Linked DNA regions of Canis lupus familiaris. The protein of the gene in region 5 interacts with the protein of the main gene of each other region in a pairwise test. Links are inferred from orthologs where the notes say so. Each region holds a gene or a part of one and is shown on either strand. Other genes may lie near its edges.

Region 1 (5,554 bases), on a different chromosome or scaffold from region 5:
TTGAGTCCTGAAATCTGTGCTCTGAATCACTTCACTTCTTGCTTCTTTCTCCATGCTCATAGGACAAAGGCATCTAAGAAGAACCTAGCAGGTCCAGAATGCTTCTCTGAAGAAGTGAGCTGACCATCAAGAATCAGATGGAACCAACCAGTCCTAAAGGGGAAAGATCATTCCAGGAAGAGGGAACCATGTGTGTAAAGGCCAAGAGGGTAGAATGGGAGCAAGGAAGAATGAAGGACTTGTCTGGAGATGTGGACAGGGGCCAGGTCATGCCAAGAATCATTATGGGAAGCTAGTAGAAAGTTTTAAAGGAGTAGTAGATACATTCAGATTTGTATTTCCTTTTTTTCTTTTTTTAAGATTTTATTTTTGGGGGATCCCTGGGTGGCGCAGCGGTTTGCCACCTGCCTTTGGCCCAGGAGACCTGGGATCGAATCCCATATCAGGCTCCCGGTGCATGGAGTCTGCTTCTCCCTCTGTCTATGTCTCTGCCTCTCTCTCTCTCTGTGACTATCATAAATAAATAAAAATTTAACAACAAAAAAAAAAGATTTTATTTTTAAGGGGCGCCTGGGTGGCTCAGTTGGTTAAGTGTCTGACTTGGCTTAGGTCATGATCTCAGTGCCTGGGATCCATCCGAGTATTGCTCCCTGCTCAGTGAGAAGTCTACTTGTTCCTCTCCTTTTGCCCTTCCCCCCTCAAATAAATAAAATGTTTAAAATTTTTATTTTATATTTTTATTTTTATTTAATTTTATTTTATTTTATATTTTTTAAAGATTTTATTTATTTGAAACAGCACAGGGAGAAAGGTCAGAGGGAGAGGGAGAAACAGACTCCCCGCTAAGCAGGGAGCCCATCTTTGGGCTCTATCCCAGGACCTTCGGATCACACCTGAGCTGAAGGCAGACGCTTAACCAATTGAGCCACCCAGGCGCCCCAAAAGATTTTTTTAAGAGTTTATTTATTTGTTCATGAGAGACACAGAGAGAGGCAGAGCCAGGCAGAGGGAGAAGCAGGCTCCATGCAGGGAGCCCGATGTGGGACTCAATCCCGGGTCTCCAGGATCACGCCCTGGGCAGAACGCAGGCGCTAAACCGCTGAGCCACCCAGTGATTCCCCAAAAGATTTTATTTTTAAGTAATCTCTACACCCAACGTGGGGTTCAAACTCACAACCCCCGGATCAAAAGTCGCATGCCCTACTGACTGAGCCACTCCACTGACTGAACCAGCCAGCCAGGCGCCTCCAGATTTCAAATATCACTCTAAGTTTGTGCAGAGAATGGATGGGAGTGGGTGGGAGCAGACGGGGGTCTCCTAGCCACTGTTTGGTGATTGCACAGAAAACAAGAGTAGCCAGGTTGGGCCAGAGTCTGTAGGGGCTAGCGGGTCAGGACTGCTGGGTGTTACCCTCTAAAAGGGGTGAAGAGCAGAGGTTGGCGCAAAGAACCAGAACCTGGAAGCCTGGTCTAGGTGTGGCAAAGGAGGCGGAGTCTGATGGGGTGTGTAGCAGGCTGAGGTAGGACCCCGGGATCACGCTGGCCCAGTTGGCCATTAGGCTTTGTTGGGTTTGGGGACTGGTCTCCAGGGGGCCGGACGCCGCGTCCCCGTCGTCTCGATAGAGCGGGTCCGGAGGGGCCGGAGATGGGCGGGCGCCGGGTGGTCCTCCCCCAGCCGCGGTCGGGATGGAGCTGGTCCAGGAGGGGCGGGGCCCGGGGTGGGCGGGGCCTGGGCCTCCCGCGGCCACGCCGCTGTCGCGGGTGCATTCCTGACTCTGGCCCCGGGCGGAGGAGCGCCCCGGCTGAGTCTGCGGTCCCCGCTGGGCGCGGGTGTCGCGACTAGCCGGAGCCGGGAGCGGGGCCGAGGAGGGCCCAGGTGAGCTGGGACCCTGTGTCTGGAGCGGGACCACGGAGGCTCGAGGTGAGCGGGACCCCTTGCGGGCTCGGGCTGCGCTCCCCGCCGCCAGAGGGCGAGCGGCAGCGGGGCTCGCGGAGCTGCCCCCTCCTGGCACTGGGGACCTGGGCGTCCTCTAGGAAGGGGGGTGGAGGAGAGGGTAAATCAGTAACCCGCAGCGCACACAGGGCCTTTTGTCCCGCTCCGTCCAAAGAGCACCCTGGCCGTGGAGCTGGTTACTCATTGCCCACCGGGGCGGGGGCGGGGGCGGGGCGGCTGTCCCTGCAGCTCCCCCTCCGGACCTGCCGACTCGCACCTCCCCCCAGGGTGGCCGGGTAAGGGTGGAGAAAGAAGAGCGCGCTGGTCCCTCGGCTGCCAGGCCGTCTGCGTTCCCCGAGTAGAGATGAGGAAGCTGAGGATCCGAGAGGTGCAGTCATTTGCCCAGGGCCCCCCTGCGCTCCTCCCTCCAGCCGGAGGAGAACCCAGGACTGTCTGATTGTGTGTAGATCCTTCAGCCCCTGAGTAAGGCGGTGGGTTGGTCTGTCAGAGGCCACGTGTGATCCGACTAAGGGTTACAAGGTCCGAGCAGCCTGGGTATAGGAATAAAATCCCCAGGTCTCCCTGACCCTCTCCCAGCTCGAGGTGTAGACCCAGAGGGCTGCTTCCCCTGCAGCAGAGCAAGGTGAGGTGATTCTATGGAGGAGGGCCATGGAAACTGGGGGTGGGTGCAGGAACAGTGGCATCTAAGTCAGGTGGAGAGGAGAAATGGGGACACAGAGGTGTGTCTGCGCAAGAGAGAAGACATGCCCAGTTTTGAAAGCCAATGGCTTCAGTGCTGAAGATGCTGAAGGAGCAGACTGTACAACCGAAGATACCCACAAGAGTAGGGAGGGAGGCCTAGAATGCTGGATGAACTATAGATTGGATCCTGCAGGACATGGGTAGCCATTAAGGGCTTAAAAGCTGGGGGATATGGGGTGGTGACATGGCAGATTCTTGTGATTTCTAAAGCCCTGCAAGAGAGCAGAGCCTGGAGTGCCAAGGGAGACATTTGCAAAGGCCCAAGCCAGAGATGACTATGGCCTGCCCTGGGTCCAAGCAAGGGAGGTGGGATGGACTGGAGAAGGATTGAGGAGGCAGATGGACTGGAAGTGGAGGGAAGGGGGAAGGGGGATGGGAAGAGATGATGCCCCAGCTGCAGGGGCAACCCAGGGAAGGAGCAGGGTTGTTTGGTTTTTTGTTAAGATTTATTTTATTCATGAAAGACACAGAGAGAGAGAGAGAGAGAGAGAGAGACATAGGCAGAGGGCGAAGCAGGATGCTTGCAGAGAGCCCGATGCAGGACTCGATCCCAGATCCCGGGATCAGACCCTGAGCTGAAGGCAGACGCTCAACCGCTAAGCCACCCAGCATCCCGGGAAGGAGCAGTTTGAAGGGGTAGATGACAGCTTTGGTCAGGACAGGTGAAGTGCTCCCTGCCTCAGAACCAGAGCTGGAAATGGGGCAGTGACTGAAGAGAAAGGGTGCAGTGGGCTTCCTGGGCAAGGTAGATTCAGAGACACCAGTGTCTCCTGACTGTTAATGAGTTCCAGGTAATAGCCAGTGGTCCCCTGGGACTACATTGGTCACCTCTTCCCCTGCCCCAGCTGAGACTGTTTTGAGTGTTCCTTCTGGGGGATGGGGAGACATCTTTGGTGTCAGAAGAATAGGGTGGGTGTGTGATACCTGACAAGAACTGCACCAGAATTGGAGGTAATTGGCCAAAGGTAGACCTGGGGTGACAGTCATGGAGAGGGAAGGGAAGAACGTTCCAACATTCTGTGTTCCCAGCCCCTACATATGGTCTCTTTTATCCTCAAAGCAGTCCTTTAAAGATAGCATCCAGAGAGGAACAGGAACTTGCAAGTTGGTAAGAGTCCGGATTTGAACTTGGCTTTGTCAGACATAGAGCCCAAGTCACCTCAAATGGAGTTGTGAGGACACAAAAAACAGATGCATTCCCAAGCGTGCAATTCTGGTTCAGAATGAGGAAGAACTTCTCTTGCCATGGAATGTGCTGCTTTGTTAGTAGTGAGTGCGCTGTCACTGAAGGTATTCAAAGCTGGTCAGGAAAATGTCAGCAATGCTATAAGAAGTGTGGGTCAGATCAGATAACATCCAGATGCTAAAGTTTGGCCTTGTATTATATTTCTTTTTTTCCTTTTTTGAGGGGTGGAGTTCTTCAGCAATAAATTCATTTATTCAGCAAAAAATAAATTACGTGTGCTGAGAGTGAGCAGAAGATATGTCTCCTTTTTCTGCTTTCCTCCAAGGAAAGAATCCCCAAACTGCCCTTTCTGTGAACCTGTGCCAGAGTCTCAGCAGGACTGGAGGAGAGCAGGAAGCCCAGCCCTGCCCCCTGAAGAAGCTTTGGGCTCTGGCCACAGCTTTTAGTCTCTGCCTTGCTGCTGCGTGATGGCGGGGAGGGCAAGGCTTGGACAAGTCCTGGCCACTTCCTGTCTCAGTTTCTTCATCCACAAAATAGGAGAATGGCAATGCGAAATGTGCAGATCTATCAGAAGTTCTCCCTCCCTTTCAGGAAGGCAGTTGGTGGTAAGCCCAGCCTGGGTCCTTGTGATCAGCAGGAAGGACATGTGGCTGCTGTTGGCCCTGTTGGGGGTCCTGGTGGAGGTGCCTGGGGCTCCAGCTTTGTCCCTTGAAGCCTCTGAGGAAATAGAACTAGGTATGGCCTTTAAGGTGGTAGAGGGTGGGCTCGGTGGGCACATGGAGGGAGCTACTAGCTGAGCAAAGCTGGAAAGGATCCTGGCCCAGTCCCTGAGGAGGTGACAGCAGGGCAGGGCCCAACCATTGAGACTCAGTGTCTGGCTCCCAGCAAGCGTCCACCTATCTCTATGTCCACAAGAGAGGAATGGCCTTGCAGGGTGAAGGGTCCTGAGCTGGGCTGCAGAGCTGGTGGTGAGCCCCTGGCTGTGTGTGTGTGTGTGTGTGTGTGTGTGTGTGTGTTCTGTGCACTGGGTATATGGTTTGGGAGGCCCAGGAAGCATGTGTGGTATATGTACTGAGTATGCTGTGCCCTGGAGGTGTGGCATGTGCCCTGTGTGTAGCACCTATAGCATGTGTTTGTGTGTGTGTGTGTGTGTGTGTGTGGCAATGGCATGTCCAATCTAGCATGTGTACTACGCACTGTGTGTGTGATGTGCACCAGAGGCATGGCGATTGCCTTACGTATTGCATCTGTGTAGCATATAATTATGCGTGTATATTTGAGGAGCAGCAGGTGTCCAGCATGTGTCAAGGGGTACTTGTGCCCTGCCCATGCAGCATGTTCTCCATACACAGGGGGCTCACTCATCTGGGGCTTGTGGGGCTCACTGACCTCTGCCCTTGGCCCACAGAGCCCTGCCTGGCCCCCAGCCCAGAGCAGCAAGAACAGGAGCTGACCGTGGCCCTTGGGCAGGCTGTGCGGCTATGCTGTGGGCGAGCTGAACGTGGTGGCCACTGGTACAAGGAAGGCAGTCGCCTACCACCTGCTGGCCGGGTACGAGGCTGGAGGGGCCGCTTGGAGATCGCCAGCTTCCTACCGGAGGATGCTGGCTGCTACCTCTGCCTGGCACGAGGCTCCATGCTTGTCCTGCACAATGTTACCTTGGTTGTGGATGG
Region 2 (5,678 bases), on a different chromosome or scaffold from region 5:
AAAGAGGTGAGATAAGAATACCAGAATCAAGGGAGGAGGACATACCTATACTCCTACAAATTCATTCTTATTTCTGCTTTGAATATGGAGTTGGAAGTCAAATACCTAATCTCTTCCCAATCCATGCCTTAGCCAATGCATTACAAATCATGCATGTAATCTAAAAAGTATTCCTCAAAACTGTTAGTGTTTCATAACAAAAAAGACAGCCTAATACTTCATGGACCACTTACCCACCCACTATTATTTGCCAATGGTAAGAAGAATTAGTGAAAAATAACAGAACATGGGGATTATCAATTTATGCAGAGAAAAGGCCATTATCACATTAGACTTATTATTTCAATGTAACTCTTAACATATCAGGGAATCTTAACCAGCAAAAAGATAAAGTAGAAAAAACTCAAAGAAATAAGTATGATGTCTCTAGTCCCTAAAATGGATCTAAGGAAATGTTTGACCATGAAACAAAGAATTCTGACCTGAAAACCATTTACCTTCCTTTTTTTTTTTAGATTTATTTATTTCAGAGAAAGAGCACGTGCTCAGATGCGGGGAGCCATAGAGAGAGGGAGAATCTCAAGCAGACTCTCCCCTGAGGTCAGAGCCTGCTCAGGGTTTGATCCCAGGACCCTGAGATTATGACCGGAGCAAGAGTCTGAGACAACCAACTGCACCATTCAGATGCTCCAAAAATATTTACTTTTTTTAAAGATTTTTTAAAAATTTATTCATGAGAGACACACAGAAAGAGACAGGCAGAGACACAGGCAGAGGGAGAAGCAGGCTCCATGCAGGGAGCCCAATGCGGAACTCGATCTCGGGACTCCAGGATCACGGCCGGGGCTGAAGGCAGGGGCGAAACCACCAAGCCACCTAGGGATCCCTTATTTACTTCTTTTCACTGAGCGCAATACATTTCCATCCTGTGTCCCTTTATTTGTAGTCCACATTTCCCAAAACTCAACAAGGCTATTAAAGACCACAATACACCTATGATTGCTTCCTTTTGAATATAGAGGAGCAAAAGAAGAAATGATGGAAGAAAATACATTTTCTAATTACCAGGTGTTGAATGTTGTTGTATCAATAATTTGGAAGAGAAGTGAGAATTTTCAACATCAAAAAGGAAATCTAAAAATTGCAGAAGCAGGCTGTCATAGAATAAAATCATATGCTTCACTAGCAAGGATTGTACACAAATAAATACCATTTTCTGCTTCAGATTTAAGCTGATATGAATCAGCTAATGAAATGTGGTCAAGAAGCTGACATTCTGGTCACTGTTGTTGAAAAAAAATAAAATGAAATAAAGCAGCCCCACCCACACTGCTGAAAAAAAGCTTCCGACATATGCACTAAACTTGTTTACCCAGGCCACATCTTAACAAGAGAAAAGCTTTGCAACTTGACTAGGATTATGTAACTATTTTGCAATGTGTTATCAGTTTAAAACCCTATTTATTTACTCCTTAGTTTTAACACATGGGTTACTTTACTACAAGGCCAGGTTTGCCATAATAATAGCATCTTTCCAATTTTATTCCATCATCAGCACTTCTTCCAATAGAGTTTTAGCCATTAATTTCATCTACTTTTCCTCTAAAAAAAATTAAAATATTTTACAATATGATATTGATATGTGACAAATTAACTTCTTTAAATAGCTCTGTTCCCAGAAACATGGTAGTAAAGACAGTAAACTTCATAGTGATTTAACTGCTATACCAAAACCTGGGTACCACAAAATAATAATCAGTTGAGATACACGGAAAAAAGTCAACTTCAGTTTCAACGTGGGAACACCCTTTCACTGTGAATCCCTTTCACCGCAGTATTTTCAAGTAATTCACCCCGAACTTCTGGCTTCTTTTTTAAGGTTATCAAAGATAGAGATTTCCGGAAAAGAATTTTTATTTCACAAGAGAATGGCCAAGGTCTGCAAGGTAAACCAGGATCCCTAAAACGAAATACTTCCAAGGAAGAAATAACTGTAACATAGTGGAACGATCTGGGACTGGGAATTTGGAGACCTGATCTGTCTAGACCTGCAGCAATACACCCCACTCCATCGCTTAAACATGACTGCCTAGATTTTTTTAATATTCTCGCTCCCCCTTTTGAAGAGATGCTCACTGAAAAATGACATGGAACCGAATTTTTCTTAAAGAATGGGAACTGCTTGGGCACCTGGGTGGCTCAGTGGTTGAGCGTCTGTCTTTAGCTCAGGTCGTGATCCCGGTGTCCTGGGACCGAGTTCCACATAGGGTTCCCCGCGGGGAGCCTGGTACTCCCTCTGTTTGTGTCTCTGCCTCTCTCTCGGTGTCTCTCACGAATAAATAGAATCTTAAAAAAAAAAAAAAAAAAGAATGGGAACTGCCTCCATCTACACCCAACAAGATTTAAAGTTCAGGTTCTGAATGCTAGCTGTTGGCAACATCTGCCCTGAGCACCAAACATTACTCAAACTTTTGTCCTCAGCAGCTGAAGACACTGGGAGGCACTTAATACAAAAACGCCAGTTTCAAAGGATAGCCGGGGGGGGGGGGGGGGGAATGTTAAGCCTAGAGAAACTGGGTATATATCCAGACATTTTTTAATTTAAATTAAAAATGTAAACGTCTAAACGTTTGGAAGTTCAACACCTCAGCTAAACAGCAATGCGGTCCAGTGTTGATAAATCTAAATCACTTTTAAAGTAAAAGGAGACAATTTTCCCAGTTATTGTGCATCAAGCAGCTCAAGTGGGCAGAGCTCAAGGACCACATCACACAGCAGAATGCCGCCAGGACAGTGGAGGCAGGCCAAGCCCAACCAAGGGAACCGCTCCGACAGAACTCGCCCCAACGAACTCCCTCCCTCCACCTCTGGTCTCCCCAGATCCCTAGGGCCGGCCCCTCCCCCCGCCATTCCCCTCCCCCACCCGTCGGCCACCTCCGCTAGTCTTAGCGCCCTCAGCCCCAACTACCGCCGCTCAGCCCTGGGTCTCCTCAGCAGCCAACCCTTTCAGCCCCTCCTCCTTTTAGAGGCGCCCCAGTCCTCCGTCTACTTACCGGGGTTAGCAGCAGCCGCCGCCATGGCCGTAGATGCCAATGCCGTCGCGCCACCCCCCGAGTGGGAGGAGCCGCCGCCACCGAACCGGGGGGGAGGGGGAGGGGAGAGCCACTCCCCAGACGCGGCTCCCTACAGCCGCCACCGCTACCGCGGAATCAAAGATGGCGGCTGCGGTAACACACACCCCGCCCCGACAGGCCCCAGCCTCCGGAGGACGGACCCCGCCCAAAGAGTGGATGGAGTCATTCCCTCAGAGCCCGCCTCCTCGGGGCAACTGACCAATGAGAATGCAAAAGGCAGGGCTGGCCAATGTGCCCGCCAGTCCATTGGAGGAGGGCGGGCAAAAAAGAAGTCCAGCTGTCTCTCTCTAATCCCGCCTCCTGTGCGTCAGAGGTCAGTGATCGAGTGACGTAGGCGAAAAACATTTTTACTCAAAAGCTTAGCTAGGTGGTAGATTTTTTTTTAAGATCTTATTTACTTATAGACACAGAGAGAGGCAGAGACAGAGGGAGAAGCAGGCTCCATGCAGGGAGCCGGACGCGGGACTCGATCCTGGGCCGCCAGGATCACACCCCAGGCTGCAGGCAGCGCCAAACCGCTGCGCCACCGGGGCTGCCCTAGGTGGTGGATTTTCCTGGCTGAAAACTGTGCAGACGATTTGTTTCGTAAACCCTCTTTAGTGGCTCTAATGCTTAAACTTTACACAGTGATTTGTAATCCTTTCTAGAATTTTTTTCCTCCATTAAGGACCTTTGTCCCTGGTGAAAAAAAAGACTCAATAATTTTTGAGTGCCTGGTATGGAACTGGTCGTGTAAAACAATCTGGGCGCTTAAGGTCTGGTGAGAGAGGTACCGACAGCCAAAACAAAAGGCGTTGTATAAAGAAGGTATTCTGATTAAGAGTGGGATGACTTCCATTGGTCAATAATAGGGACATAATGATGGGTTTTTGTAGGGAAGTAATAAGATGAGGACTGAACAGATTTTTTTAATAATAGGAAGCACTAAGCATTCGTGCCAGACACTATCCAAACTGCTCTGTGTGTTTACTCATTTAGTTCTCACAACACTGTGATGTAGATTGTATTATTAATTCCATCTTGCAGATAGGGAAAGAGAAGCAAAGAGATTAAGCAAGTGATAACCAGCTAGTAAGTAATGATGTGCAAGGCAAACTGAAGAAGTCTGACTCTAGGAACATATTTTAGCACTACAATATACTACCACCTTACTTATCTTTCACCTATTGTTTAATATCAATTTAATTCGAATTTTAACAAATTTCATTATGCTCTTGAGTATATCTGCATTCTTATAGATTACATATGTAATACAAGATTACATTGATCCATTTCTCTCCTTATCAGTAGTTTATCTCCGCTGAGGTATTTTAACATAATTTGTATATTATTATTTACATTGTTAAAATTATTTTTTCTTTGTTATTTTATTGTGTTGTATTTCCAATTCATCAAAAGAGAAAAAGCATCCACTCTAAAGAAGTACATTGACACATAAGAAGTAATGATGAAAAAACTAACAAGTACAGAATTTCAATTCAAAATTATGAAAAAAAAATTATGTAGTAAAGGTAGCTATTAAACAAGACTGCAGTTTAGATATGGACTCGAGTTTTGTGCCTTTACATGTGATAAGTTCACCCAAGCAGCGATGAATAAATAAAAATGTAAATACAAAGTATAATCATGAATACCTATGGGGCTCTTGAGTAGCTCAGCCAGTTTAGCGTCTGCTTTCAACGCAGATCATGATCCTGGGAATCTTGTGATCAAGCCCTGAGTCGGCTCAGCCTGCTTCTCCTTCTCCTTCTGCCTTTCCCCCTACTCAGGCGCGCTCGCTCTCTCTCTCTCTCTCTCTCCCTCGCTCTATCTCAAATAAATAAAATCTTTTTTTAAAAAAAACCACAACTATGATTATCTAAAAATTGGATTTTATTGGACCAACAATCCTTTTGTCCATTGCCCACTACAAGTATTGTCAAACCCTGACTCCAAAAGCCATCAAAACTTACAAGTCATTTTTGAACCAATTACAATAACCTCATTACGTTATAAAATGTATTTTTCCAGAATGAATGCAAAATAATGTTTTCCATTATGAAATGGATGAGTTTGTGGATAAAAAAGATCAAGTTACATCCCTGGTTAAAAAATGGCAAAAGTCATTTTGTTTCAGTGATACAACTAGCTACAAAGTTAACAAGTGTTTTGCTTGGAGAAAGTATAACAAGCCATTAGCAAAATCCATGATCAAACACCACAAAGAATCCTGGGATATAACATGAAAAGGCAATATTAGCCTTGAATTTGCCGACAGTGGACACCATGATGTACATAATATGAATCACTTCACAGCATATATGTAGTACATAAGGAAAAATGCCCAGAAACTTGTTATTTGGTTTATCATTCAAAATTGAAGTTACACTAATTCTAAGACATATATGCACCTCTATGTTTACTACAGCATTATTTATAACAGCCAAGGTATGGAAGCAACTCAAGTGTCCATCAATAGATAAATAAAGATATGGTATACAATGGAATATTACAAAAAAAATTGAAATCTTGCCATTTGCAAAAACGTGAGTGGATCTAGGAGGT
Region 3 (5,787 bases), on a different chromosome or scaffold from region 5:
GCGAGCACTCCAGGCAGGTCCACTCCAGAATCCTCCACTTTCCAGCAGCTGGTGGCAGGCCAAGCTGGGTAAGAGGTGGGGACTCAGTTGGCTCCGACCAGGAGTACAAACGCAGGGGCCCGAACCTTCCTGCTAAACACATTTCCCAGTTCCCGGCGAGGACACCTCCCCTTCCACTTCCTCCCACCACCCCCACCTCCACCCCCGTCCCCCAGAGGCAGTGGGAGCGTCCGAACGCAGAAACCGAGGTGCTCGTCCAGACTGCGCAGTCGGCTTTAGTCATAGGTGGATCATGCCCGTCCCGGGTCTACCCCAAGCCACGTAGCTGCTTCCCCTGGTTCAACCGGTCTGTGACAGAGACGACAAGGCCTCGGCGCCCGGCACCGAGGCGCGAGAGCCCGGCACACGGTTCCGCGGGCGGGCCCCGGGCCGGTATGGAATCCCCACTGATGGGAGAGAGGGACTGCGCACCGACTCGAGCCGGCAACTCAGCGGAAAGGCGCAGGGGCCTGGCGATCATCACCGGCCCGCCGCCCAAAACCCCGGCCCCCACCTGGTCCCGACGCGGCCTGCGCGCCAGTGAGGTACGCGCGGTGAAGTACTGCTCCAGCTCCGAGTCCGAATCCTCCTGGCTGCAGTAGCCACTGCTCGTCGTGCTGCTCCAGGTCATCTCGAAAGAAGGCGTCCCCGCGTCCACCTCGCCCATCGCCGCGCCCGCCCGCCAGCTCCTCGAGCCCCGTGCGCCCGTGGCCTCCAACCACCGCCCGAGACGCGTGTGCGCGTGCGCTGGGATCAGGGTTCGCGCCGCAACCGTTAACGCCGAGACGTAGACAGCCACGATCTGGCTCCCTTCTCATTGGGGGGGGGACTTCGAGGGGCGGGTTCACACACGCCCCGCCTCCAGGAGTGACCTCATAGCCCAGGCAGCCCAGCTCGGCTCCGCCTCGCAGACCACACCTCTTTTGGGGAACAAGTCGGCGCGTCTGCGCATGTACACCAGCGTGGCTGCACGACCGGATGCGGATGCGGGAAGGTGCGGAAATTGCGCGGGCGTGGAGCCTCGGCTATTCCGGGCAATCCGCGCGGAGTCAGCATCCCTGGTACCCCTTCCAGCCGCTCTCGGCCGCGGGAAAACCCGCTGTTCGAACGCGCATTGCGCGTAACCGGGCGGCCCTAAGCAACTCCTGCCGTGTGGCCGGCTGGTCTGCGCACCTTTTCCGTACGCCACCCCTTGCCCCGCGCTCACCACGTTCGTGTCCCGCTCCAGCGCAGGTTCCCAGCCCAGGTCCCGGGGCCCGCAGCAGTCCAGGCAGACAAGCGCGCGGCAACGGTAGTGGCATGTGAACTTGCAATCTGCAGAGAGGCCTGGCCGTGAGGCGGAGCCCCGGCTCCAGTTCAGAGAAGCATCCCGGGGACGGCAGAGAAACCCCGGGACGAAGGCGGTTGCCCGCCAGGCTTTGCATGACCCGCCTTGTCTTACGGCCCGGGTACCCTGCCGCTGCTATGCAGATTCTAGTGTTGGTCTCCCGACGTCTGGAAACTGGCGGGAAGGCCTCAGGCGGTTAGGGATCCAGGCCGGTTGAATAGCTGGATCTCTAGCACGGAGATCCCCCTTCCGCACTGTCAAGCGCCCCCCCCCCCCCGCCCCCAGCATTTACTTGAAGGGCAAACCCCCCAAATCTTTAACCCTTTAACCCCTTTAGCTGTCATCTGTCTACATCCCTCACACCAAAACATATCATTTATCTGCATACACAGTGTAATTCCTCATCTTCACTCTCTCCTTTACCCATTCCAGTCAGGCTTGATCCTCCCTCCAGGATAATGGTTAGGGTCCTTAGCAACCTGTGCACGTTCCAATGCCAGATCCCTTCTGCATCCTCACCATGCCCCCCAGCATCGTTTGATGCTTGCTCCCCTTGGCTTCCAGGGCCCCCCATTGCCCCGGTTTTCCTCCCATGCCCTGCAGCTCCTGCTCAGCTTCTTTGGTTCTGCCTCAACTCCCAGATCTAATGGGCAAGAGTGTTTGAGACTCAATCCTGATCACTGCCATTGCCCTGCTCTGTGTACAACCCCAGATCCAAGTCTTCCATCCCTAACCTCCCTCCTCAGATCAAAGCCTGTGTCAACCCAATGTGACCAAAACCAACTTTTCTTTCACCTCCCCTCTCCTCTCCCCAGAGCTTCTCATCTTAGCAAAAATCACTACTGTCCCTGTTTGAGGCAAAAATCCCAAATCACCCTTGATCCCTCTCTTCTCTTTGCTTCTGACACATTGTCCTGTATTTCATCCCTATGTCACTTTATTTCTCCATGGGATCACTGCAATGTCTCAGCCCTTGCTCATGCTTGGTTTTCTGTCACAGCTCTGGTGTTCAGGACAGACTCTTGTACTGGATGAGAGGGTCTCTACACCTACATAGGCCTAGGATACCTTCTCTAAATCCCTAAATGGGCCAGAGGAGTGATTCTCAATTGCTCTCAATTCCAGGCTGCCTACTGAAATGATTTTTTTTTTTTTTTTTTTTGTAAATTGCTGATACATTCCTAGTGATGGATTCAACAGGTCTGAAGTCCAGGCATAGGGGTTTGGAGGGCTGTAAAATCCCAACCAATTCTAGCTGGTGTATAGCCAGGGGGACAGCAGCCTCTGCTTGCTGGCAGAAAGACTGCTGGTGTGTGATGTTTTGTGTTTTAGCACCTGGTTGGCTGGGCCTGCAATAGGTATTTGCTCAATTAAATTCTTGCTTGTAGAAGACCCACCCAAGGTACTTTTTCCCTGCTTGCCTCCATAGGTGGGTAAATTCCCCCTCCTCCCAGAGATTCTGGGGGGGTGGGGCAGTGAGTGAATCTTTGGGAAAGAGCAGGCTTGGGAACATGGACTTAGAGATTGGTCGAAATACAGACTTCTCAAGAAGAGCCAAGGCACTTAAAAGATAAAAAGCTTGAAATCAGCACCTTGTTCATAGTTATTCACAGGCATCCGCCTCTGCATAAATGTGCGCCCAATGCAGGTGGTATAGAACAAGGCTATAAACCATCTGTCTGCCTGCACTTTCTTACACGATGGAGCAAAGGCAGTGGACCTGGCCCACTGCCAGTTAGGAACCGACCCTGCCGACCGACCCCCTCCTTTGCGACTTGACACGCAGCGACGGCACTGCCCCTTGGCCGCGCATTTCGCTCTCCCAGCGCGCGGGGCTGCTACTCACGCGCGCACTGCAGGCCCTTGCGCACGACGCCCCAGATGAAGTCGCCGCAGAGGTCGCACCACGTGTGCGTGGCGGGCCCCGCAGGTTGGAAGTGGTGGCCGCGGCCCGCGACCAGCTGCCGTGCCGGATTGCGCGCGGTCCCCGGTGCGATGCGCAGCGCGTTCGCTCGCTCCAGCCGGCTGCGGCCCGGACCTCCGCGCCGCGCGGGCTCCAGTTCCCTCAGTTCAATGAGCTCGGGTTCGGTGGACATGGCCGGGTCGGGCCCGGACTCCCGCCGGCTTTGGGCGCGAGCGAGCGCGGGGCGGGCGGGGCCGCGGGGCGGGCCGCGAGGCGGCGCCGCCCCCGGGATCTAGGCTGGGCGGCGAGAGAACCAGGGCGAGCGGCGCAGTGCAAACCCGGGTGCCCGGGCTGTGTCGGCCCGCAGGCGGAGTAGGGGCGGGGGGCGATCTCGCAGAGTCCCGGCGCTCCCTTTCCTTTTCTTCCTGCATCCGGGTGCACCCCACCCCCGCCCCCCGTCCCAAGACGACGACCACCAAGAAGGGCCACTCGGAGACAGGCTGTTTCTAGAGACTAGCTTTACTGTGCTAGAGGCACAGGGTCCCCACATCCGGCCCTTGTCTTGCCTCGCCCAGGCCTCCCGCTCCAGCTGCTGAGGCAGCACCCTCAGCCTACCCGCAGGGTAGGGCAGGAAGCGAGCAGCCTTTACTGGGGAAGATGGGTCAGCAGCTTGCTGGGCTCGCTGTGCTCACTACCTCGCGGCGCTCGCTCTGCTCACCACCTGGGAGGCTGGAGCCCTGGCTGAGGTTTCGAGAGGTTCAAGGGCACACTGGGGGTGGGTTGTAGGGCATGGGTGCTTGGCCCTCAGCAGCTGCAGCTTTCACTTGGCTCTGTTACCTTGGGCTGCCAGGACACAAGCCTTTCCATGCTTCTTCCAATGCTTGACTTGGCACTCCCTGCAGGCAGGTGGGCTGGTAAGCATGCAGTGCTTGTGCGGGGTATAGAAGTGGGGCTTAGGGGTCCAAGTTCCTAGGATACCCTCACCTGCAGCAATACCATTCATTCTGGCACCGTGAGCACCGTTTGGAGGCATCTGCACTGCAGTAGGCACAGCGGGGCCGCTCTGGGGTTACTGCCTCTAGGACGTCCAGGCTGTAGGTCTCAGCCCATCTAAGAAAGAGGTCAGGAAAGGCTGGCTGTGCCTGGCCAGTGGGGGCACAAGAGCACCTCTGCCTGTGTCCATGCCTTCTGCATCCCTCCTATCCCTTCTGCCCACTCAGTGGGCCTCACCTTCGTGCCTGTAGTCGCAGGTCCTGCTCTGAAGGGCTGAATATGTGCCTCAGCTGGTGCTTGGCAATAGCCTGCCACTTGCCTCTGTTCTCTCTTTCTAGCCGCTCCCAGATTTCTGGGATCTGAGAGAGAAAAGTGGAAAGTGTCAGGGAGGAGCTGGCAAGGTGGGCAGTAGTCCTGAGCAGCTGACTTCCTGGTACCTACCTGTTCCAACACCAAGTCCTTCTTTGGGGGCTGGGTTTCCGTCAGGGCCAGGTGGGCCAGGAAACCCTGCAGGTCTGCCAGGTTGGGCAGCTGGTCGAGCAGTGTGTCTGTGAGGAAGGCCCGAAGCTGCAAGGGAGTCCAGGGAAGGCCAGTGTGAAGTGGTGCTGACCAGGGAGGGCCTGGGCTGGGGTGCCTGTGGGGACCACGTCCCACTAGCTGCTGCGACACCTGAGCTTCAGGGTCTGGAAAGAGGACTGGGGCTGAGGCAGGTGGGCAGTGATAAGCAGCAGGGGTGGGGCAGGGCAGGGTGGGATGGGGTGGCACTGGTGCAGGAGGAGCTCCCCCACCTTGAGTAGCTGTCCCTTGGCAAAGCTGGTGACGCAGTAGCGGGTCCGGGCTTCGGGGCTTAGCAGCAGGTTGTATAGGGCGATCCACACCTGCCCATCCAACTTGCTCAATTTTGGGTGCTCTGTGGGGGCCACTGTCTGCCAACGGCCACCCTCAAATTGCTGCATCTTGCCTGGAGAGAGGAGCCAGAACACTAGGAGCAGGTGTTACACACTCTGAGTCAGCCAACTGAATGGGCTGGGGTCCTGAGTGCTGCCCGGGTGCACGACTCACCAAGGCTGGTGTCTGCTTGCTCCAGAGCGGGGTGAGTCTTTAGCAGTGGACACACAGGCCTTACCTGCTGCAAAGCCCAGGTCTAAGCTAGTTTGTGTGAGGCATTCTGGGCTCCTCTATGAGCTAGCGGGCAGTTTGTGAGCAAGCTGCCTGTCCCCATCAATCCTGGGGTATGTCTGGGAAGCCATGAGCTGGGGCTTAGGCAAGGGGGTGGGGAAGACCTTACCACCTTCCTGTCGGCTCCAGGGACTGTGTTCCAGCAGTTCCACCAGGAGGCAGGGCAAGTTGTGGGTACTGAGCATGCAGTTCAAGGTGCTCAAGGAAAGGCTAGGGGTGGTGGTGGAGAGAAGTGAGCGGCGGCTACAGGCCCAGGATCCCAGTCCTCCACTGCAGGTCTTGGGCCTTGCAGGACTGCCCACCTGTCCACACAGTCTGTGATGTAGCGCAGCACTGAGAGGGCCTT
Region 4 (5,831 bases), on a different chromosome or scaffold from region 5:
TCTCTTTTCCCAGCCGATTCCGGGTTCCCTCTTCAGGTTAAAACAAAAGGAAACGCCGCAGAGCCGCTTCGGCCAGCGGCGTGGACCGGCAAAGCCCGGGCCGGAGCGCAGGGGGGACCAGCCACTTGGCCGCAGCCCGCGAACCGCGCGGGGCCTCCCCCCCGCACCCCGACGGCTGGTGCTGCGCGGGGGCCCCGCCGGCCACACTCCAGGGACGCGGAGAGCCGCACCTTTCGGTCCCCGAGCAGGCTTTGGCTCCCCCCCCAGAAGTGCCGCTCGTCCATCGGCAACATGCAACCCGGTCGCAGCTCCCCGCAGGCCAGAGGGCGTCCCACCCTGCGGGGTGTGCAGGAAGGCGCTGGCCACCACGTCCGCAGGACGCGTCCAGGCGCTGCGCGCCGCCCACGGCCGGTCCCCAGGAGGCACAGGACGGGCCCGCCTCGGCGCCAGACGCGTTTGCAGCTGGAAAGCCTGGCCCGATGCTCCTCCCCCTGCACCCCTCCCCAGTCCGCGTCCCGGGAAGAAAGCAGCCCTGGGGCCGGGAGCCGGGGTTCTGCTTTGGGTCCCTCTCGGTCCCCCTAAGGGCTGGTGCGAGGGCCGAGGGTCACCCACCCTCTCCTTCCCGGAGCCTCCCCCCCTACGCCCACCCCGACCTCCTCCTTCTGCCTCCCGCCCCCACCCCCATCCCCGCTGTGGGGACTCACTCGAGCTACGCTTGGGTCGAACCAAAAACCAGACTGTGTGGGAGCCTCGGAGCAGGGACAGCGCGGGGTGTCAAGGCGAGAAAGGACGGGCCCTCGCCTGGCGGGGAGCGAGGCAGGCGGAGAGTGGAAGGAGGAAAGGAAAACTGGGAAGGGATGCGAAGCACAGGCGCCAGGGTCCGAGTGGGAGCGGGTCAGACGCAGGGAAAGGGGTGGGGGGTGTTAAAACCAGAGCCACCAGGGGTGCGGGCGAGGCGCGCCAGCCGGCAGCGCCTGTCCCTCCCTCCAGCAGCCCGGACGCGCGCCGCGCTCGGGGGTGTGGGTCCCGGGAGCCCTGCGCCTGGCTGTCGTGCCCGTGTGCCCCGGATGTCCCCGGCCCTAAAAAAGCTGCCTTAGTTCTGCTCGGGAGCGACTGCGGCGAGACGAGTCGCTCCAAAACGTTGAGCAATTCGGCTGCGGAGCCAAAAAGCCATTTCCCACAGGGCGCAGCCCGGGGCTTTTCCAGGCAGCTGGGCCGGGCTCGGGGCAGTCCGGACCCGCTAAAGGCCATCCAGGCTCCCGCTCGGCGCGGGTCGGCCTCACCCTGGGAGGTGGAGGGAGCGGCCGGCCCTCCCAGGCGCCCGCTCTGCAAGCCCGAGGTCTTCGCAGGGTTAGGGAAGCGGGGAGAGGGACCGGCGCTCCGGCCGCTGGAAGGGCGCGCGGCCAACCCACAGGCAGCCAGCGCCTCTCCCGCTCCGAGGGCTTGGCCAGGACGCTGCAGCTCCCGCACACCTGGCCCGGCGGCCCGGCCCCTGCCCCCGGCCCCCGGCCCCCGGCCCCTAGGGCGGCCGTCCTCGGGTCCCTCTGGCTCCCAGCCGGCTGCGACCCTTTCCGACCAGGACCGCTGAGCCCAGTTGCTTCCGAGCCAAGTGGACGCCGCCGGTCCCCCCACCCCGGAGAAGTTAATCTCACGAGCAAAAGCCGATTTCCACGCGGATGGTCGGAGAAGGAGGGAGGGGCGCGAGGAGGGGACCCCCCCCCAAGCCGCCCAGGAGGCCGGCGCAGAGAGTGGGGCAGACCCGGGCACTGCGGCCCCAGCAGCGCAGGGCGAGCGCGGGCGGCGAGTGCCACGCATCCCCGCGAGGAAAGGGACACGCGAGCGGGGGGGGGTGCGGACCTGGGCTCAGGTGCCCGGCGGGAGGTGGGGAGCACGGTTCGCCTACCATCTTCCTCTTACCTAGGGACCCAGTTTCTCCGTTCCGAGGCGTCCCTAACTTCCCCCAAGAGAAGTTCTACACTTTTCTGGCGATCTTCCTTCTTTCCTTCCTGTGGCCGGGACCGGGCAGCAGAGGAGTCCCGGACTTTGCAAAGGGGAGGGCGGGGGTGTAAGAAAAAAAAAAAAAAAAAGCAAAAAACCAAAACGATTCCACCGAGGAAAGGGGGCGCGCGCGGAGAGGAGTGGAGGTGGGGACCCCAGCGCACAATGAGGGCCCCTCGGAGCGCGGTTCGAAATTCCTCAAATCCCACTCGCTGGAATGCGAGGCGACGACGACTCCTTCACTCGGGGCCAAATGTGTTTGTCATTACTCCAGACCGCCCGCCCGCCGCCCGCGCCCGCGCCCCCGCACAGGGGCGCACGACCCCCGCGCGCTGCGGGACCGGCGCCCGCTCGCGCTCCCGCCCCGCGGATCCGGCACGCACCCCGCCGGGGTGTCCCCCCCCCACCCCTCGCCCACGCCCGCGCCCCCTCCGCGCGCCTCGCAGCCGCCGCCGCGGTGCTGTGTCTGGCCCCGGCTCGCACCCGGCGCTGCGCCGTCCAGTAATTACGCGCCCTCGGCCGGCGCCAAGCGCCCCCGGCTGGCACCCCAGGTCCGGCCCCGCTCCAGCCGAGCCCTTCACGCCTCCCCTCCTCGCCGCCCGGCGCGCGCCCCACTCGGCGCCCCGCTCCCCCCACCCCACCCCCCACCCAGGGCCCCCGCCGCGCTCCACACCGCCGGCTGCAGCGCTGTCCCGCCAAACCGCGGGCGAGGAATGAAAATACTCATTAAAAACCTGTCGCCTTCCAGGACCTACTGCCAAGAAGAGGGCAAACACCTCTGCCCCCACTCCCAGCATTACTTGGTGCCCGTCCCGGTATACACGAATACCACCCCCCCCCCAGCCCCAAAAAGAAACCTCAAAAATGTAAGCCTAAAACAAATTTCTTCGGGAGGCTATGGACTTGTTAGAAAAACACTGCTTTTAAAAATAGGCCTGGAAAATGTGTGCTTTTTCTTTTCTTTTCTTTTTTTCTTTTTTTTAATCCCTAGACTTTCTAACTCTATGGTTATCTTTCCTCCAAGTGAAGTTTATTCAAAATAAATGACTCTCTGGACACACAGCTGGAATTCCACTCCTTTTTTTTTTTTTTCCTCATCGCCCAAAGTTTGAGTGAAGTTCCTTCACTTCCAGCCCAAAGGGGCCTGATCAAGGACTTCTCTTAGAAACAAAAAAAATCATTATTTTTTTCTCCTTTCTTACCTTCTCCTCCTATGTCAATTCGTAATGAAAATCCTACATAGGGAGCAAAAAGTGTCCACGGCTTCCAGTCCTCTCTCCTGTAGTCCCCTTCTCTGTTTTTCTCTCTCTAGCTCCAACTGTAATGCGCTCAAAAACCGCGTTTTGTAATTGATTCAATGTTATAGTCCATCCTTCTAAAACTAATCATTTGCTCTAAGTAAATAGCTGTCAGGAAATGAAGCGCCCCCCTCCTTGGCCTCTTCAAAATAAAAGTTTCTCCCGAACTCCGTGCGCTCTGAGCCTCCACGCATCCAGATTGCGCCTTCGCTCTTCGCTCTTACGCAATCAGGGGGTCCGGCCCCAACCCCCAGACTTCGACAACAACTGGGGGGGGGGGGCGGGGAGAAGCAGACCAGATGGGGTGGGGGTGGTGGAAGGGGGGAGGTGTTGATGCTCTGCCGGGAAAGAGGTCCGTGAAAATACCAACTGCCCATCACTTCCAGAAGGAGTCGGCCTCCTGATGTAGGGGCATAGTCTCCTACGCTGCCCTATTGCTCTGCATGCTCTTGGAAAGAAACACAACTCGCGAAGTTGCAGTTAATGCCCGGGAGGAGTGTACATCTGGAATCGAGAAATGTCCCTTCCGTAGAAACTGCTAGTTAGTTGGGGGGCCTGTCCGGAGAGGTCCCCAAGCGGTTGCGTCTTTACAACTTGGGGGTCTTTTAAGGGAAAGTGCCGGGTAGTCGCTGACTCTTTTAATGGTATCAGGCAAACTGTTGGGTCCAGTGGGAAGATGATGGTCTTTGTTTTCGGTTTTGTTTTGTGTTGCTTTGTAAACGGGTTTGAAAGAAGGTGCAAAGACTCGAGGGTCTGCGTAGGTTTGGAACGTTCCCCGACAGAACGACCTTTACTCCCTCGGAGCCACTTATCTTGTCGCGTCTTTGTTTTGGGGGGATGGGGTGGGGCGGGGGGACCCGGGCGAGGTTGCCCTGGCTTCTATCCTGCACACGAAATAAGGCTCAGGGTTGGGCGTTGGGAGGAATCGTCTGCGGCCAACCTGGCCACCTCGGCGTCCCGGGGAAGGTGCACCTCCGCGCACCCCCCTCCCGCCCCCCGCCACAGAGCACGCAGCTTACCGACGCCCTAGGGCTTGAGCTGAACCCCAAATCCTCTGCCCGCCCCCCCCCCACCCCACGGCGCGAGGCGAGACACGGTACCGGGAGGGCGCGATTCCGCTCGCGGAGGAAAGGGGGCGCTGACGCTCCAGGAACCGGGCTAGGAGGCCGAGTGGGGCGTGCGAGGGACGGAGGGGGAGGGGAGCGCCTTCTCCGGTGGGGTGGAAGGGGTCATTTTTGATCCCCACCCCCTCTCCACCTCCGCACTCTCGGAATGGCCAGGGCGTCCAGGTTGAGCCTGGAACGTCGGACAGCCGTCAGCTCCTCCCGCATCAGCAGGGGGGACAAGGAGCAGCCGGCAGGGGAGGGTCACACAGAAAAGTGTGGGGTCCTGTGCCGCCCCGGGATGGGCTCCTGGGGTGTCCGGCTCGGGAAGACGCCCGGGGCTGGGCCAGGGGCCCCATCCCCACCCCACCCCCCACCCCAGCTCTTCTGCGCGCCCGCCTCTCGTGCATCTTCAGTCCGGGTGACTGCACTGCTCACTATTACTTCCACATGTTCCTTCAGGAAATCATTGAAGGCAAATATATGAACAGCCTCTTGTTCGGAATGCTAACAGGATACCGTAATGCTTGTAGATAATGAACCGGCCCGCGCGGCACCTCCCTCTCCCCCCACCAAAAAAAAAAAAAAAAAAAAAAATTCAGCGTGCGGAATAATAGGAAAAGGCGGGGGCTGGCTTTCATGCTATTAATAAAGACAAGCTGAGATCTGAGTTTTTATATCAAATACCCCAAAGACGAGGAGGCAAGGTAGAAAGCCTACCCAGGAAGGCCTGCTTTGCTCTGGGAAACTGCCAGCCCAGTCGCGCCGGGGTCTCCTGAACACTGGGCTCCCCGCCCACAAATGGTAACTTCACAGTTCATTTCAGAGATGCTTAAAGGGGCCTGAAAAGCAGGCTGGGCTGGGCTGGGGGGACTGGAGGGGGGTGTCTTCGGGTCGTAACTCCTCTCGACTTGGAAGCATGGAGAATGGATGAGCAAGCGCGCACCCAGTTGTCCTTCTGGTAGTAATTACCTGCCTAATTTGAATGATGCCTTTGTTATGATCATTAACAAACATTTGCTAAAGGTTTCCATGTGTGACATTCCAGAAGGTTTAAAGGACTGGGATGCTGACTCCCGGGATAGCGCACCGGTGGGGGGTGGCGCAGGGAAGCAAATGGTTGGGGGGCGGGGGGCGGGGGACGATTTCGTCGAGTCTGGGCCGAGCAAAGACGGAGCGAGGTCAACATCTGCCTCCCCTGCAAAAGCAAAATAAACCCAGTGGTCGGGAGCCACCTGGGGGCTGGAGGCCCTGGAAAGAGGCGGTTCGTGCCTCGACACCCGTCCTGCCCCGGCAGCCACCACCCACCCGCGCCTCCCACGGCTCATAGGCGGGTTTGAATCCTGCCGTCCGCCCTCCGCCGCGGGTCCGAGCCTTCGGGAGAGGACGGGTCTGCGGCGCGCCGGGCCCGGGCGGGGAGGGGGGGGGGGTG
Region 5 (5,035 bases):
AGGGCCTAAAACACCTTGCACATGGCAGGTACTCAGTTGAGTATACCAACAGGTATACCAGTTGAGTGAATGATCCTGTCCTACCCCCTGAATAGAGTGGGGGGCAAGAGGAAAAGGGCGTCTCTTGTGCTCCTGGTGCCAGCTGGGGGCATTTCATAGGCGGTCTTATTTCTACCTTGCAATAGCCTTGGACGTTGGCTATGCCTGCTTTATAGAGGGTGAGGAGTCCGAGAGGTTGAGTTACCTGCCCCAGGTCATGCAGCAGAAGGTGGTTGGTGTAGGATTTGAGTTCAGATCTCACTGACTGGCTGCTTCCTCTTCCTGCTGCCCAAGCACTCCACTGGGAGAGTGACTCCAGGCTCCTGACTGTGGTCTCTCTTTTATTTGTCCCCCAAGAACTTTGAGGTGGAGGCCGATGACCTGGTGACCATCTCAGAGCTGGGCCGAGGAGCCTACGGGGTGGTAGAGAAGGTGCGACATGCCCAGAGTGGCACCATCATGGCTGTGAAGGTAAGCAGGGCCCCACCCCATCCCTGCCCCAGCCAGCCAGGGAGCTCCAGGCCACGGGATACCTGGGAGGGGAGGCTTTATGGAGGAAGCATGAGGGGCCGAGCTGGTGGTACTGCTTGTGGGAACCCGTTGGAGCTCCTAGTCTTCCTATAGGGGATGGTGAGGTGGTTACCCTCTGCCTCATGGCCCCTAAACTGTGACCCTGTCTCCCGCAGCGGATCCGGGCCACCGTGAACTCACAGGAGCAGAAGCGTCTGCTCATGGACTTGGACATCAACATGCGGACGGTCGACTGCTTCTATACTGTCACCTTCTATGGGGCCCTCTTCAGAGAGGTGCGGCCCTGGTGGGAGGGTGGGAGGTGGGTGCTGGGCTGCAGGCTGGGGGCTCAGGCTGCCCCATCCCACCTTCCTTCTGTACACCTGCCCCACTCTGGCTACCCTACAATCTGTTGTTGCTCATGCTGGGCCCCCCACAGATGCTTGCTCAGCACCCCTGTCCCCTGTGTGCCAGGTACTAGGCACAGCAGTGGGTGAGATGGTGCATGCAGAGTTTTTGGGAGCTCAGGCAGTCTGGCTCTCCTGCTTCCTGCCTTAGTTTCCTTGTCTGTGAAATGAGCAGTAATTATATCCACCTCACAAAGATGCATGAAGATAAAATGATGTGACCTAGGGCCTGGCATTCCCTCTGCCTCTGGCACCACCTGCTTGCTTCACTAGCATCCAGGCTGGCAGCATGGGCTTCCGAGCAAGGGCACCAAGGAGGTGTGCGCAGGTCCAGTTCTTGGTCTGTGGGAAGGATGGGTTGTGGGATGAGAGAGAGGTCAAGGGTGATGCCAGGGAGTGTGGCTAGTTGCAGTGGAAGGACGGGCTCCTGCTGGCTGCTCCCTGAGCATCCACCCGTCCCCAAGCATGCTTGGTGCTGTGGATCCAGTGGTGGGTCAGCGCCTCATTGTCCACTAGTCTGGTTGGCTAAGCACCTGCTGTGGGCCAGGTGCAGGCTGCTCCTCTTGCTGATGGGAAGAGACGCACACCTGGGCCTCTCTGTGTGCTGGGTCAGAGTTGCAAGGGAGGCATGTGGGCCACATAATCCCTAAGTCCCCCAGGGAGAGGCCATACCCAGCCTTCTCAAAACACTGTCCTGGAAGATAGGTAGGAGTTTGTGGGGGAGCTGGGAGTTGGGGAGGCCGGGCTCTGCAGAAGAAGAAGGGAGCAGTCTATCAAGGCCAGAGCGAGGATGACCCCATGTGTGTTTGGGGCCACAGTGGTTGAGGTTAGGAGCATCTGCAGGGCTGGGTCATGGCCCCAAGCTGCAGCCGGGCCTGAGAGCCCGCTTTCGGAGGGACGCAATTAGGCGTGTGTTTTAGTCATTTCTTTCTAGAAACTACCATGGAATTAGGGATTAGGTGCAGGAGACCAGAGGCAACAGAGCTGGGTAAGGCTGGCAGGTGTACTGCCCACTAGTATACATAAGCATGGAAGGTGGAGAAAAAAGTAGAAAATTTTGGGGTGCAGAGTAGGAGGTAAACCTCCCAACTCGGTAAATCTCTGTGGGCTGAAGTAGAGGGGCCTGACCATTGCTGAGAGCCAGGCATGTGTGGACTCAGCACCAAGACAGGCTGTCCAGACACCGGTGTACAGCCTCGGGCTGACACAGGCTGACCTCCAGGTGTCCTTCCACAGGGAGATGTGTGGATCTGCATGGAGCTCATGGACACATCCCTGGACAAGTTCTACCGGAAGGTGCTCGATAAAAACATGACCATTCCAGAGGACATCCTGGGGGAAATTGCTGTGTCTGTAAGTGGCCTTGGGCTTGGGAGGGGTTGGGGGTTCCAGGTATGTAGCCAGGGGCCCCAGCCCTACCCCAGCAAGTGCAAAGCCCAAACTAAGGTGATAGCTTGGGCAGAGCTGGATCCCTAGTAGGGCCCTGCGCCTGGGCAACTGCCCTGCAGGGAGCCAGCTCTCCCACCCTGCATAGAACTTTCTTGCTGAGGAGACCCCAGATCCTGGGGCTACCAGAGCCACACCGATTTGGCAGATCTCAGGTCTCTAGCTTTTGTGTGCAACTCCTGAGCTGTCTACACTATTTTTTACAAAATGACTTAGTATTTACAACTTCCTCCTGCCAAAAATGCCCTGAGGCAGTTCATAGAGACGCAAGCTATGCTGGGAGGAAGCTTAGCATCCACACTGTTTGCCTTTTGAGGTAAGATGTTTCTAGAGCAGGGTAATAACACTGGGCTTGAGCATCCTGGTAGCCGAAAGGAAAAAGGAAATGCTTCTCAGTCCTGACTACATCTGGGAACTTTTAAAACATGCCATACCAGAGTACTGAGTCATGATCTTTGGGGTACTTCTCCGGGTACATCATTTCCCTGTAAAGGCTTGGACCTGAGACCCTAACCTGTCGGGTGGGTGGGAGAAAAGTGGGAGGCTGGGTGTGTCTGCACTGAGGTGGCCATACACCAGGGTGAAGGTTGGGATGTGGGCAAGAGCCCGGCAAGCTGCGGGGTGGGTGTGTATGGGTGAGAGGGAGACAGATGGGCACGGCTAGGGGGTCTCACAGCTCTGTCGTGCTTGATGCAACTAGGAATAATAGCCTTGTCTTTTCTCCTCTTGCTCTGAACGCCAGATCGTGAGGGCTCTGGAGCACCTGCACAGCAAGCTGTCGGTGATCCATAGAGGTCAGTGCCCCACTGCGGACTGTGTGGGAGGGGCCTGCAGGCTGCAAGGAGGGTGCAACCTCAGGTGATAAGTAGTGAGTGGTGTGCCCACTAGGGTCATGAGTTGAGCCTGCTTCCCAGTCCAGGCCACTGTCACTTCTGCCAGCTGTTGTCTTTAGGTCCCTCGGTGGTTTGCTGGTACTAGGAGCAATGATGGGGCTTTCATCCTGGGAACGCTGACTGAATTTGTTTTGACATATTGTTTATGTATCATGAAACACACAGATCCGTAGCTAGCATTTGATGAATCTGTTCAGAGTTTACACCCACATAACCCTGGCCACTTTCAAGACTCAAGATGTCCCACCTTCTACCCCACCCCAGAAAGTTCTCCGTGCTTCTTTTGGTCAGACCCTGCCCCTATGTCCCCTCTCCACATCTTGTCTGGTGTTTCCCACAGCAAATCGGTTTTACTTATACTTGAACTTCGCATAAATAGACATGGCCTCTCTCCGGCCTCTTTCCCTTGGCCTAATGTTTCTGAGGCTCACGCGGGTTGTGTGTGTGGTAGATCCTTCCCTTTCACTCTGAGTGGTTCACTCACCCAGGCATATTGCTTTTCACCAAGTGCATTAGACCGAGCCGGCTTTGACTGCTCTGCGGCCACCCCAGCCCCTGCCCCCAGGTCACCACTGTTGGCAGGTCAGCATGGAACCTGCTGGTCCTTTTCCTGTGCATTTCTGTCCTTATGCCCATGCCCTGTAGGAAGGGATGGAGGTTGCTCGTGTGTTATATATGCTTTTGCTGGAAGAGTCCCTGCTGTATGCCCTGTAGCCTGCTCTGCATGGACCTCGAGTTGTAGCCTGGGCTCTGTGTTTCCACAGACCCCTCCGTGTCCCGTGCTTTTGCTGCTGCCCTGTGCCTCCTGGCCGAAATGCCCAGCCTCTCAGCCTGGACACTGGGGGGCTTCCGGGTCTGCAGCCTGTCAGTGGTGCCGTCCCCCAGCAGATCCCCAGCACAGGAGGACCCCGGGGCTAGAGGTTCCACCAGGAAACAGGCAGAGTCCTGGCTGCACAGCCGGGATGAGCCTCCCCCTCTGGACCTTGTGTCCAAAGTGCTGACAAGGCACAAAGATGGGGTCCAGGTAGAAGCTCATGTCCATCCCCACTTGTGGCCAGTGGCCAGGGCGTGTTCTTGCTGTTCTGCTCCCATCTTTGCTTCCTGGGACTGGGAGAGCACCTGGTAGAACCTCATGTCTCCTCTACCCCCCTGCCCTGGTATCATGTGCCCCTGCAGTGGTTGTGGCATCGAGGAGCCTGTTGGCCTCCTGCAACGCCCCACAACCCCTGAAGGCACAGAAGATGTGTTCTATCCCTGGCAGACGTGAAGCCGTCCAATGTCCTCATCAACAAGGAGGGCCACGTGAAGATGTGCGACTTTGGGATTAGTGGCTACTTGGTGGATTCTGTGGCTAAGACGCTGGACGCTGGCTGCAAGCCCTACATGGCTGTGAGTGGTCCCCATACCATTCTGAGTCCCCAGCCACAGCTAAGGTTCAGGAGGCACCTGCCTGGGAGAGCATTTTCAGGCCATGTCCTCTGTCCATTGGGGACAAGGCCTCCCTGAGGCTCTCTATTTCCTACCACAGCGGGGGTAATCTGCTGCCCAGCTTGGCCAAGCAGCCCCCCTCTCCCCTGTTATTAGCTGTGCCCCAATGTGCCCATTTGGATGATAAGTTTCATGAACACTTACAGGGAGGTAACCTGTGGGATTAGTGTAGGCCCTACCCCTCTCCCAGTGTCTTGAGGGTGCCCTCCCTCCGTGGGCAACGGTGCCAGTGAGGATGGTTTGGGCCTTCAC

What was found.
Region 1: the proteins of MAP2K3 (region 5) and FGFR4 come close enough for resonance energy transfer, tested with the Homo sapiens proteins (2 studies listed by BioGRID). The link is inferred for Canis lupus familiaris from reciprocal best matches to the Homo sapiens genes MAP2K3 and FGFR4.
Region 2: the proteins of MAP2K3 (region 5) and ARNT come close enough for resonance energy transfer, tested with the Homo sapiens proteins (2 studies listed by BioGRID). The link is inferred for Canis lupus familiaris from reciprocal best matches to the Homo sapiens genes MAP2K3 and ARNT.
Region 3: the proteins of MAP2K3 (region 5) and RASSF1 come close enough for resonance energy transfer, tested with the Homo sapiens proteins (2 studies listed by BioGRID). The link is inferred for Canis lupus familiaris from reciprocal best matches to the Homo sapiens genes MAP2K3 and RASSF1.
Region 4: the proteins of MAP2K3 (region 5) and PDGFRA come close enough for resonance energy transfer, tested with the Homo sapiens proteins (2 studies listed by BioGRID). The link is inferred for Canis lupus familiaris from reciprocal best matches to the Homo sapiens genes MAP2K3 and PDGFRA.

What each region holds. Positions count from the first base shown.
Region 1 is NC_049225.1:37,137,394-37,142,947, reverse strand, and holds the start of FGFR4 (fibroblast growth factor receptor 4), read left to right. Parts: upstream 1-1,737; 5' UTR 1,738-1,921; intron 1,922-2,190; exon of another isoform or gene 2,191-2,321; intron 2,322-2,443; exon of another isoform or gene 2,444-2,576; intron 2,577-4,472; exon of another isoform or gene 4,473-4,476; 5' UTR 4,477-4,525; coding exon 4,526-4,616; intron 4,617-5,289; coding exon 5,290-5,553; intron 5,554-5,554. UniProt on the Homo sapiens protein: Tyrosine-protein kinase that acts as a cell-surface receptor for fibroblast growth factors and plays a role in the regulation of cell proliferation, differentiation and migration, and in regulation of lipid metabolism, bile acid biosynthesis, glucose uptake, vitamin D metabolism and phosphate homeostasis.
Region 2 is NC_049238.1:60,666,126-60,671,803, forward strand, and holds the start of ARNT (aryl hydrocarbon receptor nuclear translocator), read right to left. Parts: upstream 3,240-5,678; 5' UTR 3,079-3,239; coding exon 3,054-3,078; intron 2,215-3,053; exon of another isoform or gene 2,191-2,214; intron 1-2,190. UniProt on the Homo sapiens protein: Required for activity of the AHR. Upon ligand binding, AHR translocates into the nucleus, where it heterodimerizes with ARNT and induces transcription by binding to xenobiotic response elements (XRE).
Region 3 is NC_049241.1:39,419,953-39,425,739, reverse strand, and holds the start of RASSF1 (ras association domain-containing protein 1), read right to left. Parts: upstream 3,478-5,787; 5' UTR 3,463-3,477; coding exon 3,213-3,462; intron 1,354-3,212; coding exon 1,247-1,353; intron 866-1,246; exon of another isoform or gene 707-865; coding exon of another isoform or gene 554-706; intron 1-553. Other genes in the region: ZMYND10 (zinc finger MYND domain-containing protein 10), read right to left, coding at 4,090-4,165, 4,254-4,379, 4,500-4,621, 4,704-4,829, 5,051-5,223, 5,551-5,651, 5,744-5,787. UniProt on the Homo sapiens protein: Potential tumor suppressor. Required for death receptor-dependent apoptosis. Mediates activation of STK3/MST2 and STK4/MST1 during Fas-induced apoptosis by preventing their dephosphorylation.
Region 4 is NC_049234.1:47,415,826-47,421,656, reverse strand, and holds the start of PDGFRA (platelet-derived growth factor receptor alpha), read right to left. Parts: upstream 3,465-5,831; 5' UTR 3,201-3,464; intron 2,196-3,200; exon of another isoform or gene 1,918-2,195; intron 253-1,917; exon of another isoform or gene 231-252; intron 1-230. UniProt on the Homo sapiens protein: Tyrosine-protein kinase that acts as a cell-surface receptor for PDGFA, PDGFB and PDGFC and plays an essential role in the regulation of embryonic development, cell proliferation, survival and chemotaxis.
Region 5 is NC_049226.1:42,963,032-42,968,066, forward strand, and holds part of MAP2K3 (dual specificity mitogen-activated protein kinase kinase 3), read left to right. Parts: intron 1-396; coding exon 397-510; intron 511-725; coding exon 726-845; intron 846-2,192; coding exon 2,193-2,309; intron 2,310-3,144; coding exon 3,145-3,196; intron 3,197-4,556; coding exon 4,557-4,684; intron 4,685-5,035. UniProt on the Homo sapiens protein: Dual specificity kinase. Is activated by cytokines and environmental stress in vivo. Catalyzes the concomitant phosphorylation of a threonine and a tyrosine residue in the MAP kinase p38.